Linked DNA regions of Macaca fascicularis. The protein of the gene in region 1 binds, or shares a complex with, the protein of each later gene. Links are inferred from orthologs where the notes say so. Each region holds a gene or a part of one and is shown on either strand. Other genes may lie near its edges.

Region 1 (4,284 bases):
CATTTTTTAAAAGATCACTATTCAAATATTAGTGAATATTTCAACAAGCCCTCCATAAACCCAGCACTGCTAGCCAACATTTATTAAATGCTAATAACGTGCAATGGAGAAGGTTAACAGCAGGGTATGTCATCAACCTGATAAAAGGCTATAATCTGGATCTAGGATTCAAATTCCAATTATATTTGTATTTCACTTAGGAAAAGAAAATCACAAAAAGAGGACTTAGCATTTCAAATGGAGAGTCAGATGGTCAAATAAGCCTACAGCAGTGACAGAAGTGGTTCCCACATCTAAATAACTTCAGACTAATAAAAACCTTATCAGACAGGAGAAATCTTATCAGATGGGGGTATCTTTTCAATTGACATGTCCTAAACGTAAAAGACTTTTTTCAGTCCACATTTTAGATAAGCTAATCTTGTTAAAAGGGCCAAAGGATGTGATGGGAAATTCTGAGCCTCTCATAATGAGACATGTTCACTGGCACGCTTCCCAGTGAGTGCAACAGCAATGAGATGTATGGTGGAGAAATAATGCTACTGGCAATACTTTCTCTTCATTACTTTTCAGGGCCTTACTTCTTTTAGGCTCGACCTAATTTAAATTCTCTCTTGGCTCCTAAGCCTGTAAGTTCATATTAATTTTCACAGTTGTATTCAGCATTTTGCTCCTAAAGAAAGTGAAAACATTAAAGATTCAATTAAAGTCTCTTTTAAAAGAATTTTAACTAATCTTTCTGTCTAGCTACCATACTTGGTAAAACATGCCTTCTATGGCATTTCTAAAATTATGATGATTGAAATTTGAATACATTTCTGAAACAGACTTGTATTTACTTTGTAACAGTAAGATACAGAAAATTCTGCAAGTATTAATTACACTAAGGAACGCAGAGTGTTTTCCTAAAGACAGCTGAAAAGAGCTGCAGTGTGTCTAGTAGAATCTCAGTCTACAATCTTAATAACTCTAGTTCTATGACCTCAGGAATTGGCTTCACCTCGAAACACTTTCTCACCTGAAAAAAGGAATAACACCATCTTTTCCTCCCTCAATGTGGCTGTTCAAATAAAATGAAATAATATATGTAGCACAGTACCTGCCACGAAGTGCTCAATAAATTATTAGTTTACTTCCTTCAGTCAACACAAAAGACACATTCACAAGATTCAGATTTAAGGAAATCTATTTCCACAAGTCCTCACCAGCACAAAATGCTACCGCTAGTTTGCTTTAATAAAAACAATACCGTCAGCGGGGCGCGGTGGCTCACGCCTGTAATCCCAGCACTTTGGGAGGCCGAGACGGGCGGATCACTAGATCAATAGATCGAGACCATCCGGGTCAACATGGTGACACCCTGTCTCTACTAAAAAATACAAAAATTAGCCGGGCGTGGTGGCGCGCGCCTGCAGTCTCAGCTACTAGGGAGGCTGAGGCAAGAGAATCGCTTGAACCTAGGAGGCGGAGGTTGAAGTGAACAGAGATCGCGCCACTGCACTTCAGCCTGGGCAACAGAGCGAGACCCCGTCTCAAAAAAAAGAGAGAAAGAAAAACCGTCACTATCATTTCACTTTTCTAAGGGACCTGAATCAAGATGAGGGAGTCTACACGTGATTCTGCAATAACTCCATTAAGGCTGCATACATAATGACCACTAAATCATTAACAGGAGTCCATAGCAATTGGGCTAAAACATCTGGGAGCATTTATGCTGGTAAAAGAGCTCACTTGGGGGCTAAAAAAAAGTCAAATTAGGCCCAACTCTAAATGGATCTTTAATAAATGAAGAGAGTAATGTTGGTTTATCCTTCCTGAAACGCTAGCAGTACGATATTAAAATCCACTTGAAAGTACAAACTTCAAGACGGAAATACTCCACCAACACTGGTGTCAGTAATCCATTTTAGAAAGCCTGCGCGGAGACCACCATTAGCACCGCTGAGGACAGTTAATGAAAGCCGTTGGCTGCAAACAGAGGCGAGGAGAGAAAAATTATTTCGGTGTTCTGCACACACACGGAGGCGAACCGCTTTCAGGACCTCAGCAGCCACCGCCGCCAACACCGACAAGCATCTGATGGAATTCCCGGTTTTACAATCGAAAGTCCAAAAGAAGGCCATGATACTAGCAAATTGGGGGGTGGAGGCGCTTCCGTTGCCTTCCCGAGGGTCCAGACTTTAAAGGCGGCGCTGCGCCCGGGGCCGAGGGTCCACTAGTCCCGGCCTCCGCCCCCCGCCCCCCACGCTGCGCCCCTTCCCGAGCGACCGCCGGCCCGGGAAGCGCGAGAGCAACACCACCTAAACCTCAACCGGCCCAGGGCCCCGCCCGAGCCCTGGCGCGCGGACCGCAGTGAAGTCCGGGTTCGAGGTCGCCGCGGCGCCCGAGGCCGAGGCGCCGGCGAGGCCGAGGCTGCGTCCGCTGCGGCCCCGGGCGGCGGGGGGGCCGGGCGTGGCCGGGCGCGGACACTCACCACACCATGCCGTAGGCACCCTCGCCGATGTACGAGAGGTTGGTGTAGCGCGGTCCCACGTCGAACACCTGCCCGCGGACCATCTCCGGGCCCGCGCCCGCCGCCGCCGCCGCCGCCATGTTGGCTGCCGGGCCGCCGCCGCCTCCGCCGCGCTGAGCTCGACGCTCGGCGGCCGCCGCTCAGCTTCTATCGCCCCTCCTGAAGGGACTGTGCCGCCGCCGGTGCAGCCGCCGCCGCTGACCGGGAGGAGGAAAGAAGACGCCGTGTGGCAGACCTGAAGAGCCCACGACAACTCGGACCGACTGCCTGCCTGCCTGCCAGACTGACGGGCGGGCCGGCGGGCGGGCGCAGGGAGGGGCGCGCGCCGAGAAGGGTGCCCGGGCGGGGCCAAGCAGCGTGCATGCGGATTGGTTCCTAGCGGCTGGGGGCGGGGCCGCGCGGCCCAGCGGAAGCGGCGGGCTCCGGGAGGGGCACTGCGCGGCGTTGACTAAGGGGGCACCACCGGGCGCGGTCACGTGCGTTCGCGGGGGCGTCGGCGCGGGACTTGTCTCTTCAGACACCCAGGGAGACAGACGTGGGGCAGAACCCACGGGGCTGAAGTGAGAGATGGCAGGGGCCCGGGCGAGCACCCGAGGAAGTACCGAACAGAGCCAGCGAGGGACAAGGGGCTGTGCTTGAGGCCCGACGACGCGCCATAGCCCGGCCGCGCCACAGCTCAGGCCTCTGCGAATCCGTGGTCCACACGCTGATGAACTTAAGAGGCCTTGGCACTGGGGCAGAAACCGAAAGGCATGACCCCAGACCGAGAAAGATATTTGCATACTGAGAAAGTGTGAAACACAATTGTTGAGATTAAAAGGAGACAGAGAGGATACGCGAATCAGGTTGGTTCAGATGTTTGTTGAGCACACTCCATGTTCCTGGGAGTTACTTTTTAGAGAGAGACAGACAGACAAATACGTGTAATACTCAAGTTGTGATAAGTACGTTGAAGAAGTACAGAGCAGAAGGGAGGGTGCGGTGTCTCACGCCTGTCACTTTGGGAGGCCAAGGCGGGCGGATCACTTGAGATCAGGAGTTTGAGACCAGGTCTCTACTGAAAATACAAAAATTAAGTCCGGGCGAGGTGGCTCATGCCTGTAATCCCAGCACTTTGGGAAACTGAGGCGGGCGGATCACGAGATCAGGAGTTCAAAACCAGCCTGGCCAACATGGTAAAACCCCGTCTCTACTAAAAATATAAAATTTAACTGGGCGCGGTGGCGGGCGCCTGTTATCCCAGTTACTTGGGAGGCTGAGGCAGGAGGATGGCTTGAACACGGGAGGCGGAGGTTGCAGTGAGCCGAGATCGCCTCACTGCACTTCAGCCTGGGCGACAGAGCAAGACTCCGTCTCGAAAACAAAATAATAATAATACAAAAATTAGCTTGGCGTGGTGGTGGGTGCCTGTAATCCCAGCTACACGGGAGGCTGAGGCAGGAGAATCGCTTGAACCTGGGAGGAGGAGGTTATGGTGAGCCGCGCCACTGCACTCCAGGCTGGGCAACAGAGCAAGACTCCGTCTCCAAAAAAAAAAAAAAAAAAGGAAAGAAAAGAAAAAAGAAATACAAAGCAGAGAGTAAGGGATTAGGGGTCAGTGGGTCGAAACACATGAGAGATACATTTGCGTTCGGAAACAGACCCAGATTGGTACAGATGGGCAGAAATATTGACAGCAGGTACTGAAATAGAAATGCAAAGATGAAGTCACTAAAACCAAAACATGGAGATTTAGAGATAAAGAGACAGACACACCAGACCCAGAAACAGTC
Region 2 (4,205 bases), on another chromosome or scaffold:
GCTGGCTCTGCAGGGCGGTAGAGACGTTCCCCTCGACTCCTTGGGAGCCAGGAGCCAGGGGGGTCCAGGCAGGCACTCGTCCTTGCTCCTCCCACCCGCCCCACATCTTTATGGAACCGGGAGTCCCGCGCTCAGCCCAGTACCCGTCCACTGCATCGCGCACAACCCCCTGCCCGCCAAGCGGGGAGACGGGGACAGCGGGGCGGTGGCAGGGAGCGCAGCGCGCAGGCGCGACTAGTGCTCCCCGGAGTGCCCGGCGCTGGACAAAGGGAGGAGGCGGCGGCAGGAGAGGGCTGGGGAGGCCCCCTCTGACATGCCTCCCTGCCAACTAACCAATCGTCAAGCCCCCCTGCTGAGGCCCCGCAGCCTGCAGGCCTTCCCCACTCCTCGCCCATGGCGGGGACTGCCGGCCTGGCCCGGCGCGTCCCAGCACACCTCGCCCAGGCAGCCCCGCCAGACCGGCTCCTCCGTCAGAAGCCGAGCTCCTTGCCCAGAAATCATTAACGAGCGCGACCCCCCAGCAGGCGACGGTGGTGATGGGGTGGGGGGAGAGATTTAGATCCCCGGAACAATGGCTTGTAACTCCCCACGCCGCTGGAGCGGAATACAGTAAAAGCACTGGACTGACCTAAGAGTTTGTTTCTGCACTCTACATTGTTTTAAAGAAAATAAAATGTTACTTTAAGAAAAAAGGTTTCCTTCTGATTTTCTGAACAACCAGACGTTTGTTTGTTTGCTTTAAAATGTTTCAACAAAATCCTGGTTTGTTTCGAAATATGTTGGATTAGCATTTAACACCTCATCGGTCACTAAAGCCCAGTCAATTCACCAGCCCCAACACAGCCTCGGCTAAAAGAACATCAGAGCAAACAGAGCTAGGCCTTTAAAACTGGCAAACAAATGCCACACACCGCCTAAAGAAGGGGGGTTGGGGGAGGGGAGGGTTAAGGCGAACTTGGGTCCAAATGAGTTTGAAGAGAATACAAAGAACAAAAAGTCAGCACAAGTTTTCCTAAAGCTAGCTCGCGAACGCTAGCGTCGCGAACAAGGGCTTTTGTGCATGCTAATTGCGCCATTGGTGCGCAAAAGTTCCGACGCGAAGTGTGAACTCTCAACAGAAGGAAACATGAGACAACTGAAGTGCCCTGGTTTATGTGCCCTGCTCCTCCTCCGCTGCCGCCTCCCCTTCTTTCTCCTTCCTCCCGCCGAGCCCGCTGTTGCAGCTTGTTTGCACTGGGGCTTATCCGGAGCGGAAATTCCTTTCCGTTTTTGTGAATGACAAACTCATTAACAATTCATCAACACAACCTGTTCCAGCCGGCCCGTCCCCACGGCAACAGCCCCTTCCGCAGCACGCTCATTGGCTGGCCCGGAGAATGTATCCATTGAGACGCTCGCTGTTTGTATCCATTGAGGAGCTGCCTCGCGCAGGGGGTGTGCGAGGCTGAGTCCAAGGGATAGTGAGCAAATCGAGTCTTAAATAATCCGGGGAGAAAGACGCCCGGGTAGATTTGAGGTGCAGACTTGGCGGGAGGGATTAGGAACCGCTAGACTTTTTTTCCTCCCCTCTCAGTAGAACTGAGTCCGAATTAATTGGATTTCATTCACTGGGGAGGAACAAAAACTGTCTGGGCAGCTTCATTGAGAGATTCATTGACACTAACAGCCAGCGGCTGCAGCTGGGTGCAGAAAGAACCTCCGGCTTTACTTCTGTCTCGTCTTCCCCAACCGCTAGCCTCGGCTTGGGTTAGGCGAGGCGGAATTAAACCCCGCTCCGAGAGCGGCAGCTTCACGCGCAGCGCGCTCGGCCTATGCCTGCCCCGAGGGGCGTCTGGTAGGCACCCCGCCCTCTCCCGCAGCTCGACCCCCATGATAGATACGCTCAGACCCGTGCCCTTCGCGTCGGAAATGGCGATCAGCAAGACGGTGGCGTGGCTCAACGAGCAGCTGGAGCTGGGCAACGAGCGGCTGCTGCTGATGGACTGCCGGCCGCAGGAGCTGTACGAGTCGTCGCACATCGAGTCGGCCATCAACGTGGCCATCCCGGGCATCATGCTGCGGCGCCTGCAGAAGGGCAACCTGCCGGTGCGCGCACTCTTCACGCGCGGCGAGGACCGGGACCGCTTCACCCGGCGCTGCGGCACCGACACAGTGGTGCTCTACGACGAGAGCAGCAGCGACTGGAACGAGAATACGGGCGGCGAGTCAGTGCTAGGGCTGCTGCTCAAGAAGCTCAAGGACGAGGGTTGCCGGGCGTTCTACCTGGAAGGTACGCGCCCGGGGAACTCCGCGCGCGGGGCAGGGCGAGGGGCGCAGGGCTGCGGGCGGGGCGCGTGGACTGAAAATGCCTCTGCTGCGCTCAGCTGGCGCTTCGGAGCCGCGCTGCTAGCCTAGGGGCCGGCAGCCGGCAAGGTATCGGCCGCGAACCGCGCGTTCCGCACCAGAGAACCGGGCCGGCTCAGAATCCACCCGCTTCCGGCTGCGGGTACCGGCGGTTTCTTTCTAACGGGTTCTGCGCCTTCTTACCCAGAACATTCTCCTCCATCACCCTATTTTCTATCGTTCGATTTTGAATTAAGATTTGGAGGACCGGAGAGATTGTTGGGGATGCAAATTGGCACATCCTAGCTTTCAAAATATTCCAAAAAGTTGCCATTTTGTGTATTTCCGGATTCAAACGAATAAGGGTTCTCTGGCGAGGCGGGCCCGTTCGTTCCATTCCCGAGGGTGCACATTTAAAGTGTATTTCTATTATTTATGGTTCTGTATGTAGGGGGTTCGTAGGGTGCTTGTGGTGTTTCTTGCGCCGGGTTGCGGTTCTTACAAGCTGTGAAAACTACTACGGCTTCTCGGGTTACACGATTGCTTTTCTCGTTCTGGCAGGTGGCTTCAGTAAGTTCCAAGCCGAGTTCGCCCTGCATTGCGAGACCAATCTAGACGGCTCGTGTAGCAGCAGCTCGCCGCCGTTGCCAGTGCTGGGGCTCGGGGGCCTGCGGATCAGCTCTGACTCTTCCTCGGACATTGAGTCTGACCTTGACCGAGACCCCAATAGTGCAACAGACTCGGATGGCAGTCCGCTGTCCAACAGCCAGCCTTCCTTCCCGGTGGAGATCTTGCCCTTCCTTTACTTGGGTTGTGCCAAAGACTCCACCAACTTGGACGTGTTGGAGGAATTCGGCATCAAGTACATCTTGAACGTCACCCCCAATTTGCCGAATCTCTTTGAGAACGCAGGAGAGTTTAAATACAAGCAAATCCCCATCTCGGATCACTGGAGCCAAAACCTGTCCCAGTTTTTCCCTGAGGCCATTTCTTTCATAGGTGAGACTAATTAATAGTAGTCGTTCTGACATTTAAATGCAAAATTCCCAGCCATTCATAGAGTTTAAGCTGTTAATCGTTCTTGCTGCTTGCTAATTTGTCGTACTGCAGGTCTCTAATTTTCCTAAAGCGTCCTTAATTCTGGTTTATCTTCTCGCTAAGGGAAGAAAACCTGCCTTTTGATATGGCTGCAGATTACAGGTGTATTTGAAACGCTGTTTCTGTGAATCTTTGAATTCAGTCATTTGACAGTCGTTCATAATCGGACAACAGATTTTTCCCACAGTCTTGGACTCAGGGGAAGGGTCAGATAGAAGTATTCACTATAGACAGAAATTCCAGCATTGCTTTATAATTTTAAAAAACCTAGGAGTTATTTTAGGACGTCAAGTTAGTTGTTGGAAAGCAGTATGAATGCTAAATGTTATCCAGTTGAATGATACTGTGATACTGGTAACAGTGAGACAGTGGGTAACCTGAGCCCAGAAGGAAGAACTGTGGGCTGGAAGCCTGGGAGAAGTGAATCTCCAGGCATTGTAATGCATTTCCTATTACAAAGGAACTCATTTTCAGGCCATGTCGACATCCTGTTCCTCCTAATGGGCCGTCCCCTGTGACTTCCCTCTCTCTTTTAAAATGCCTGAATACCTCCATTGTTAGCTGCACAACATTTGGAGAATAATTTAATAGACCCTTGCAGTCTGGTTGTCTGTATAAAAGGCATTCACGAACATATTGCAGGGTTTCTGGTATTCACATGCTGAGGCAAAGAATGCACCCATTAAGGAGTTTTTTGTTGGCAGAAACTTAATACAAAAGCTCTCTTTTCAGAAAATATCTGAAATATGTAATTGTGTCCAGTGTACATGTTTAATTTCAATGAT
Region 3 (4,192 bases), on another chromosome or scaffold:
AGAATGGCGTGAACCCGGGAGGCGGAGCTTGCAGTGAGCTGAGATCCGGCCACTGCACTCCAGCCTGGGCGGCAGAGCGAGACTCCGTCTCAAAAAAAAAAAAAAAAAAAAAAAATTAGCTGGTCATGGTGGCATGTGCCTGTGGTCCCAGCTACTCGAGAGGCTGAGGTGGGAGGACTGCTTGGCCCCAGGAGGTTGAGGCTGCAGTGAGCTGTGATCACATCACTGCACTCCAGCCTAGGTGACAGAGCCAGATCCTGTCTCAAAAAAAAAAAAAAAAAAATTTACCATGCCTATCTGTGTTTGAGTCTCCTCATCTAAGCGTGAGGATGCTGAGAATAACAGTGGTGAATCCCCAGGTGGCTGGAAAGATGAAGTAACACATGTCAAAGTCTGGCTACTTTGCCCCCGCTTAGGTCCTCACCTTCTGGGCCCAGTAATACACGGACTCTGGGTTGTTGATCTCCTTGCCCAGCCGGGCGATCATCTTAGAAGGCGTCCACTTTACACCCTAGGAGAGGAGGTGAGCTTCAGGCCATGCCTCCCCTGACTCCCACTGGACTGGCCCCTCCAGGTTGCCCCAGCCCCACCTCTGTGTTCTGCTCCAGCACCATCTGGTCCAGAATGGGCATCAGCCAGTCCTCAAACTTGCAGTAATTGTCATTGGGCACCAGCAGGTTTCCGATCCTGAGGACGGGAAGCATGTGGGCATCAGGCCCCAGGACCCTTGGTCCAGCTCCCCTGCCCAGCACCACTCAGGGTTCTCACCTATTGATTCCGTTCTCCCGGAGCTCCTTCCCCCTGAGGCTAAACTCGCCCAAGTATGTGGGCGCCAGGCACTTGATGAGGTCCTCCTCCACGCCGCCAGCTGTGGTCACCAATACATCCACCTGCAGCCACAGGGCAGTGAAGTTGGCCCAAGAAGGAAGCCCCGGCCCTCATTCTGGGCAGGACTTCTAACCTCATCCTTGTCCAGTGACTCCTACGAGGGAGCTCTGCTACAAAACAAAACTCGATTCTGTTCCTCTGCTTGTAACAGACTCCTATCTCCCCATCTCACTTAAACGATCAATAACTGCATCGCCCATTGACCCAGAGGCCAAGGCCACGGCCCCACCAGGTCCCCACCATGTTGTGCTGCACAAGGTAGCGAATGGTCTCACGGATGCCTGAACTGATGAGGTTGGATGTATATCCCAGGAAAATGGTGCAGCCGGTAAGTGGGCGGCGGCTCTGGGTCAGGTCTGCATGCTGGTCTTCATCCTGTGACAGTGGTTCCAGCTTCTTCTCGATCTGAGAGTAAGAGCCAGGTCGAGTTAAGCACTGGCGTTAAATCCCAGACCCAGGACTCCAGGTGGGGTCCAGAAACAGATTTCACCCCAGGCCCTGCACAGTCAGGGATACAGGACCAGTTCTACAGGAGACCAAGGTACATCTCCTGTGCAAACTCTGCCCCTTCCCAGACCAGATCTCAGGACACGTGTTAAGGATTTGCCCCCACCCATTTTTTTTAGACAGAGTTTCACTCTTGTTGCCCAGGCTAGAGTGCAATGGCGCAATTTTGGCTCACCGCAACCTCCGTCTCTCAGGTTCAAGCAATTCTCCTGCCTCAGCCTCCCAAGTAGCTGAGATTACAGGTATGTCTTTTTAGTAGAGACGGGGTTTCTCCATGTTGGTCAGGCTGGTCTCGAACTCTCGACCTCAGGTGATCCGCCCGCCTCAGCCTCCCCAAATGCTGAGATTACAGGCGTGAGCCACCGTGCCCGGCCTTTTTTTTTTTTTTTTTTTGAGACAGAGTATGGCTCTGTCACCAGACTGGATTGCAGTGGCGCGATCTCGCTGCAACCTTCCGGGTTGAAGCGATTCTCCTGCCTCAGCCTCCGGAGTAGCTGGGACTACAGGCGCGCATCACCATGCCCGGCTAATTTTTTGAATTTTAGTAGAGACAGGGTTTCACCATGTTGGCCAGGCTGGTCTCGAACTCCTGATCTAGTGATCCACCCGCCTCGGCTTCCCAAAATGCTGGGATTACAGGCATAAGCCACCGCGCCCAGCCAGCCCCCACGTTTTTAGGAATCAGAGAGCATCTCCTTTCAGATCCGGTCCCTTCCCCGCTGGGAAAAGCAAATCTAAATTCAATCACCGCCCAGACTTAGGCTCCTCCTCCCAAATCCTCCCTTAACTTGTATAGCCTCAGGCTCCGCCCATTCCAGAAAGCTGTAAATTTACCTGGAACCCGCTCCCACACCGAGAATCAGTCCTTGCCTCCTCGGGCTACCGTACTACCCTGTAACTACTACAGTGCAAAATCCCCTTCCCAGGACAGAAACTCCCGCCCAGAATAGGTCCCGCCTTCCTCCAACTATTGGGCCGCTCAAATAAAAGACACATCCCCTCCACTGGAAGCCCTGCCCCGTACCGCACTGGTTCTGCAAGCCACGCCCCTCCGCGTCCCTAGAAGTCCCGCCCCCGTCCTCACCATGGCATTGACTTGCTGTACAGCGCGCCCGAAGTTGGTGGCCTGGAAGCCGGTGGTGCCGAAGGCTTTCAGCAGCGCGCGGTAATCCACACCGCGGTTGAAGTCGTAGCCCCGAACCTGGGTGCTTTCGGGCGGCAACGTCGAGCTGTGCTTTAGCACGGCGGCCAGCGCCGCCGCTGGCGCCTCCCGTTCCGGGGAACCTTCCATGCGCCTGTAGCCAGCTCTCGAGTCACAGCGGCCCCTAGCCGGGCTTACGGCGGCCCAGAAACGCGTTAATCCCCGACGCGCGCGTCTCGCAGGAGCACAGGAAGTAGGGAATGCGTTTTTGGAAGAAAGACCGGAAGTTGATTTTTCACGTGACCATTTTTAGGCCCTGTAAACCTGGTCGCCGCCATCTTTGCGCATGTGTTCCGTAATACGGAAGCCGCGAGGAGCCTTTAGGTCTTGTCTTTTTCTTTTTTCTTTCTTTCTTCATTTCTTTCTTTTTTTCGTTTCTTTGTTCTTTCTTTCCTTCCTTCCTTCCTTTTCTTTCCTTCCTTTCTTTCCTTTTCCCTCTCTCCCTCCCTCCCTCCCGTCCTCCTTCCTTCCTTCCTTTCTTCTTTCATTCGATACAGGGTTTCACTCTTGTCGCCCAGGCTGGAGTGCAATTGCGCAATCTCAGCTCACTGCAACCTCCACCTTCCGGGTTCAAGCGATTCTCCTTCCTCAGCCTCCCAAGTAGCTGGGACTACAGGCATACACCACCACGCGCGGCTAATTTTGTATTTTTAGTAGAGACAGGGTTTCCCTTTGTTGGTCAGACTGGTCTCGAACTTCCGACCTCAGGTGATCCGCCCGCCTCGGGCCTCCCAAAGTGCTGGGATTACAGGCGTGAGCCACCGCGCCAGGCCTTTACGCCTTTTCATGTGTTCCCGACTTCGCATGAAGATTCTTTTTTATTTGTATTATTTATTTAATTTATTTTTGAGACAGAGTTATACTCTTGTTACGCAGGCTGGAGTGCAGTGTTGCAATCTCGGCTCACGGCAAACCCTGCTCCCCTAGTTCAAGCGATTCTCCTGCCTCAGCCTCCCGAGTTGCTGGGATTATAGGCACCCACCACCACGCCTGGCTAATTTTCGTATTTTCAGTAGAGACGGCATTTCACCATGTTGACAAGGCTGGTTCTGACCTCACGTGATCCGTCCGCCTCGGCCTTCCAAAGTGCTGGGATTACAGGCGTGAGCCACTGCCCCCAGCCAAGATTTTAATGCCGCCTGCTGGAGACCCACCGCTTTGCCGGCGCTCGCCCATTCGTTTCTGTTCTGTCCCCTCGGGAGGAGACGCTGGTTTTGTTGTTGTTACCTTTTTTTTTTTTTTTTTTTTTTGAGACGGAGTCTTGCTCTGTCGCCCAGGCTGGAGTGCAGTGGCCGGATCTCAGCTCACTGCAAGCTCCGCCTCCCGGGTTCACGCCATTCTCCTGCCTCAGCCTCCCAAGTAGCTGAGACTACAGGCGCCCGCCACCTCGCCCGGCTAATTTTTTGTATTTTTTAGTAGAGACGGGGTTTCACCGTGTTAGCCAGGATGGTCTGGATCTCCTGACCTCATGATCCACCCATCTCGGCCTCCCAAAGTGCTGGGATTACAGGCTTGAGCCACCGCGCCCGGTCTGCTGTTGTTTGATAGGGTCTCACTCTGTCGCCAGGCTGGAGTGCTGTGACGCGATCTCGGCCC
Region 4 (4,051 bases), on another chromosome or scaffold:
CGTGAGAGAATGGTTCCAGCTGGCTGCCTCTGATACAGAGGGCAGAGTGATTCGGAGGGGACCCCAATTTCTTACCAAGAATTCTTCTTCCAGCTGCTTGGGGCTGGGTGGCTGGTGCTGAAGGGCCCAGCGGGTAAGAGGGTGTCCAGCAGTGCGCAGGAAATGTAGGGTGACCTCCCGGGGTGTGTTCACGGAGCAGATGGGTTCTACGGCCCCCAGCGACCGAACGTCCAACATCAGAGCCACATTGGAGCCCCGCCTGCAGGTATAGCCCCCCACTGCCTAGTGAGCACCCAATCATATTTGCTTTCCTTTTCTTTTTATCTTTTCTTTAAGACATAGGGTCTCTCTCTGTTGCCCAGGCTGGAGATAGGGTCTCTCTCTGTTGCCCAGGCTGGAGTGTGATGGCACAATTGTGGCTCACAGCAGCCTCAAACTCCTGGGCTGAAGCGATCCTCCCACCTCAGCTTCCAGAGTAGCTGGGACCACAGGCATATGCTACCACACCTGGCTAATTTAAATTTTTTTTTTTTTTTTTGGAGAGACAGGGTCTTGCTCTGTTGCTCAGGCTGGTTTTGAACTCAAGTGATCCTCCTGCCTTGGCTTCCCAAAGTGCTGGGATTATAGGCATGAGCCACTGTACCTGACCATATTTGCTTTTCTTACAAGTATTACTGTTATGAGGCACCTCTGAGGGGGCCGCTCTTTGTCTTTCCTTTAACCTGGAGGCCCAGTAAATTTAGGGTTCGGGCCCCTGCTGTATGCCCTCCTTTTTTTTTGAGAGAGAGGAGGTCTCACTATATTGCCTAGGCTGGTCTCTAATTCCTAGACTCAAGAGATCCTCTCACCTCAGCCTCCCAAAGTGCTGGGATTTGGGGCATGAGCTACCATGCCCGGCTCAGCCCTCTCCCTTTGTCAGCCAGAACAGGGCAGCCTTGAACTCAACTGCTTCTTCCAGCCGCCTGCCTCTTCCCACTCCCAGCCAGGCCCTGTGGCTCTGACATGCATCCAGCACCAAGAAAGCTGCTGGCCTTGCCTGGAATTTAGGGAGCAGGCCCAGGGTTGATATGAAACTCTGTGCTCCAGACATGCAAAAGACATGCAAATGAGCACTATTGGTTTCCTTTCCAAATAGGAGTCAACACCTGAGGGCCCTCTGGACCCTGCTGTCAGAGCTGGAGGAGCAGATGGAGGGAAGGGAGGAGCGGAATGGGGACGCAGGGCGGGGAAGACCCCTCTCCCAGGGAAGATCTCACCTCTCCTGGAGCCGTACATGCTTCTTGGCTGGCGTTTTGGCAGGCGGAGGCTGGGTCATGGCTGCCCCCAAAGACAAGGTCAGCGGCTGTGCTCTGGAGCGCCCCCCACAGGCCTGGACCATGCTGGGGTGGGGTGCTAGGCCCAGGGGAGGCTCATTCAGCCATGAGGTCTGCCTGAAAGACAGGGTCCTCCGCTGCTGTTCTCTGGCCTGCTGATTGGCCAGAAGGAGGCTCCCACGCTAGGCCGGCTTTGCGCTCTTATTTTCACTGGGTCGTCTTCTGTTTCCCAAGAGGTAGCCTCATTTTCACTAAGGGAAGGACAGGATCTATTTGGCGGGACCCAGGACACAAGGCAGTCTGGGGTCAGAGTAACGGCAAGATAAAGGGTAGAGATTGTGGATGAAGATAGGAAACAATCCAGAAGGAGGAAAAGAGAGAGGGGAGAGAGACCACACACCAGAGTACACAGGGCTCTGAGCGGGTCCAAGTGGGAGAAGGCAAGGGAGGAAACAGAAAACATGTGTTCTCTAGGACAGAAGGGAGAAAGCGTGCAGAAGCCATCTCTGAGCTAACCAGTGGGCCTTCTCCTGAACAGAGAATGGAGGCCTCCAGCAGTGTTGGAGCTGATTGGGCAGCCAGGCAGGCGGGCTCCTGGACCCCAGCAGGGTCCTCTCCTAACTGCTGCTGTTCCACTCCCAAGTCCATTTCTGGCTTCTGGGGTCTCTGTCCATGGAGGTAGGCTGGAGGTGTTTCCTTCCTCCTCCTGCCCATCCCCCCGTCTCCCGCCTCTGTAACCGTCACAGGAAATGGCCTCACCAAGCCCTTGAGCGACAGCGCATGGTGAGGCGACAGCTGGGGGCAAGACAGGGGGCATGGAGGTGATGGGACCATCTCCTCTTGGGGGCAGTCCCTATCTCCCAGAGCCAGGGTCACAGTGGGCGAGGTGGCGGGGCTGTTGAGTCACCAAGGCGGCAGGGATGGAGGTGAGGGGACAGAGTGGGCCCGGCACAGGTGTGGGTGGTAGAGCAACGGTCTCTGGCAGCAGAAAGGGTCCCTTCAGCCTTTGCTCTCCTTGCAGCTCCCTGTGGTTTCCCTGCTCACCCCCATCTTGGGGACACCAGGTCTGTGAGCACCCATTCCCCAGCCAGGCATTGGAGCGCCCCACTCGCCCTCCTGCACTCCCTCCTGAGATGCCCTCTTATATCCCCGGAGTTCGCACCCCCCAGGGCCACAGGACTCCCAGTCCCCGCTTCAGATACTTACTGAAGCAGCTGTGGCCCCCAGGCTGCCTCTTGCCAGCTGTCTGTCTGTCTGTCGGTCTGTCTTTGAGGGCTGAGAAGGCTCCAGGAAGCCAGCTTCCTCCCTCCGCCCCTCCTTGCTGCCACCCACGCACACCCCAGCTGCATTCTGCCCTCCTGTGCCTGCTGCCGCTGCCACCAGGGGTCGGCTGCCTCCCGCCTGTGCCCTTCTGGGGCCCAAGGCCCTGTTCCCTGGGAATGGGTGAGGGGCCAGGCCTTCCCGACCATCCTGCTTTCCCCAGCTTCCAGACCCTCTCCCCTCCTGCTGTGTTTCTCCTCTGGGTCTTTGTCACATCCAGCCACTGCCTACTTGCTGGGCACAGCTCGCCTGACCCCCAGCTTTGTGCTGTCCCACAAAGAACCCAAGGCTCTCCTGCTCAACCTGACCTTGGCCGGAGGCTTATTTCTGCTTCTCTGCTTCTGCCTCACAGTCCTCTCCCTCAAAGCCCTTGCTGCTTCAAGCCTTGGGAATTCATGGCCAAGCACAGACCACATCTTCCCAGAGCAGATGTGGCACAGACTTGGGGTGGGGAAAAAGAGGAGGCAAGAATCCATGCCTCACAATGTGAAGGAAAGGCCTGGGGCCAGGCCAAAAAGGTCGTCTCCACGCCCTGTGCCACGGCCCAGCTCTCCACAGCCCGCGGCCTGAATGTAGGCCAGCCCAGCAGGAAACAGATAGCAGAGTCCACTTGTGGGAGGGAGTCTGAGGGGCTTCCCCTGGGCCCCCAGCCCCCTGCAGGCCTCCTCCCAGAACCCTGACATCTACTTAGAAGACTTACAGACAGTGGAGAGTCTCTGGCCCTCACACCAGGGGACTCCCATGTCCTCTTCGCTGCTGGGGTGCCTGGATGCCTGGGACCTGAAGGGTGGCCCCCAAGTCCAAGACTCCTCTGCCCACTGCCCCTGCCTGGCCTTGGCAGGCTCCTTGCGGGCCAGCAGCCCAGCCGATTCATGCTTGCTGCAGGCCTCCTTTTACCTTGTAACATTTCAAACGCCCTTCCCTTCCCGGCCCCCAACACGCGCAATCCACGTCCTCTTTCTTCCTCCCACTTCCCTGATTCAGCTGTCAAATGGTGACAGCAAAAAAGAAATGAGGTACCCTAGACACAGGGGGTAGGCATGCCGGAGGGGGTGGTCGGGAGGGGGCTGGCCTTCTGCTGGCCCCTTGGGGAGGAGGGTTGAGATGAAGAACAAGAACGGCTCTCAGAGGCTCAGAAGGCCTCCCAGCACCCGCCCTTGCTCTGGGCAGTGGGGACAGGGGCTGGCTCTTTTTTGAGCTCCTCCATGGCCAGCTGATCCTGGCGCCTCCTTCCCTGCAGCCTGCGCTCCTCTCCAGAGTGGGTGGGTTTCCCCGAGGAGGAGGCCAATTAGGGCTGGGAAATGGGTTGGCTCCTGTGCTCAGGAGAGAGTGGAGGGGAGCAGGAACCTGGGAATCCCTAACATGCTTGCGGGCAGTGACCCGGAGACTGGCCTCTGCCTCACCCCCCACACCAGTCA

The links.
Region 2: the proteins of MAPK1 (region 1) and DUSP6 are in contact, whole or in part, in a crystal structure (PDB 2FYS), measured with the Rattus norvegicus proteins. The link is inferred for Macaca fascicularis from reciprocal best matches to the Homo sapiens genes MAPK1 and DUSP6. Residues at the interface, in NP_446294.1 of Rattus norvegicus: Glu79, Glu107, Thr108, Leu113, Gln117, Leu119, Asp122, His123, Tyr126, Phe127, Gln130, Thr157, Thr158, Cys159, Asp160, Tyr314, Asp316, Asp319; in NP_446335.1 of Rattus norvegicus: Arg64, Arg65, Leu66, Gln67, Lys68, Gly69, Asn70, Leu71, Pro72, Val73, Arg74.
Region 3: the proteins of MAPK1 (region 1) and DHPS are in contact, whole or in part, in a cryo-EM structure (PDB 8PVU), measured with the Homo sapiens proteins. The link is inferred for Macaca fascicularis from reciprocal best matches to the Homo sapiens genes MAPK1 and DHPS. Residues at the interface, in NP_002736.3 of Homo sapiens: Tyr113, Tyr187, Ala189, Thr190, Arg191, Trp192, Arg225, Lys231, His232, Tyr233, Leu234, His239, Lys259; in NP_001921.1 of Homo sapiens: Arg159, Glu160, Asn161, Asn164, Asn173, Glu174, Tyr176, Cys177, Glu180, Asp181, Met184, Asp188, Asp243, Phe247, Tyr250.
Region 4: the proteins of MAPK1 (region 1) and PTPN7 are in contact, whole or in part, in a crystal structure (PDB 3D42), measured with the Homo sapiens proteins. The link is inferred for Macaca fascicularis from reciprocal best matches to the Homo sapiens genes MAPK1 and PTPN7. Residues at the interface, in NP_002736.3 of Homo sapiens: Thr185, Glu186, Tyr187, Val188; in NP_001351807.1 of Homo sapiens: Arg124, Tyr125, Lys126, Ile128, Asp257, His258, Ser292, Ala293, Gly294, Ile295, Gly296, Arg297, Gln335.

What each region holds. Positions count from the first base shown.
Region 1 is NC_088384.1:31,257,359-31,261,642, reverse strand, and holds the start of MAPK1 (mitogen-activated protein kinase 1), read right to left. Parts: upstream 2,801-4,284; 5' UTR 2,593-2,800; coding exon 2,474-2,592; intron 1-2,473. UniProt on the Homo sapiens protein: Serine/threonine kinase which acts as an essential component of the MAP kinase signal transduction pathway. MAPK1/ERK2 and MAPK3/ERK1 are the 2 MAPKs which play an important role in the MAPK/ERK cascade.
Region 2 is NC_088385.1:96,315,958-96,320,162, reverse strand, and holds the start of DUSP6 (dual specificity protein phosphatase 6), read left to right. Parts: upstream 1-1,405; 5' UTR 1,406-1,869; coding exon 1,870-2,269; intron 2,270-2,883; coding exon 2,884-3,321; intron 3,322-4,205. UniProt on the Homo sapiens protein: Dual specificity protein phosphatase, which mediates dephosphorylation and inactivation of MAP kinases. Has a specificity for the ERK family. Plays an important role in alleviating chronic postoperative pain.
Region 3 is NC_088393.1:13,065,680-13,069,871, forward strand, and holds the start of DHPS (deoxyhypusine synthase), read right to left. Parts: upstream 2,801-4,192; 5' UTR 2,687-2,800; coding exon 2,480-2,686; exon of another isoform or gene 2,461-2,479; intron 2,319-2,460; exon of another isoform or gene 2,230-2,318; intron 1,294-2,229; coding exon 1,129-1,293; intron 891-1,128; coding exon 769-890; intron 688-768; coding exon 591-687; intron 512-590; coding exon 425-511; intron 1-424. UniProt on the Homo sapiens protein: Catalyzes the NAD-dependent oxidative cleavage of spermidine and the subsequent transfer of the butylamine moiety of spermidine to the epsilon-amino group of a critical lysine residue of the eIF-5A precursor protein to form the intermediate deoxyhypusine residue.
Region 4 is NC_088375.1:59,915,368-59,919,418, forward strand, and holds the start of PTPN7 (tyrosine-protein phosphatase non-receptor type 7), read right to left. Parts: upstream 2,801-4,051; 5' UTR 2,783-2,800; coding exon 2,520-2,782; exon of another isoform or gene 1,431-2,519; coding exon 1,257-1,430; intron 260-1,256; coding exon 76-259; intron 1-75. UniProt on the Homo sapiens protein: Protein phosphatase that acts preferentially on tyrosine-phosphorylated MAPK1. Plays a role in the regulation of T and B-lymphocyte development and signal transduction.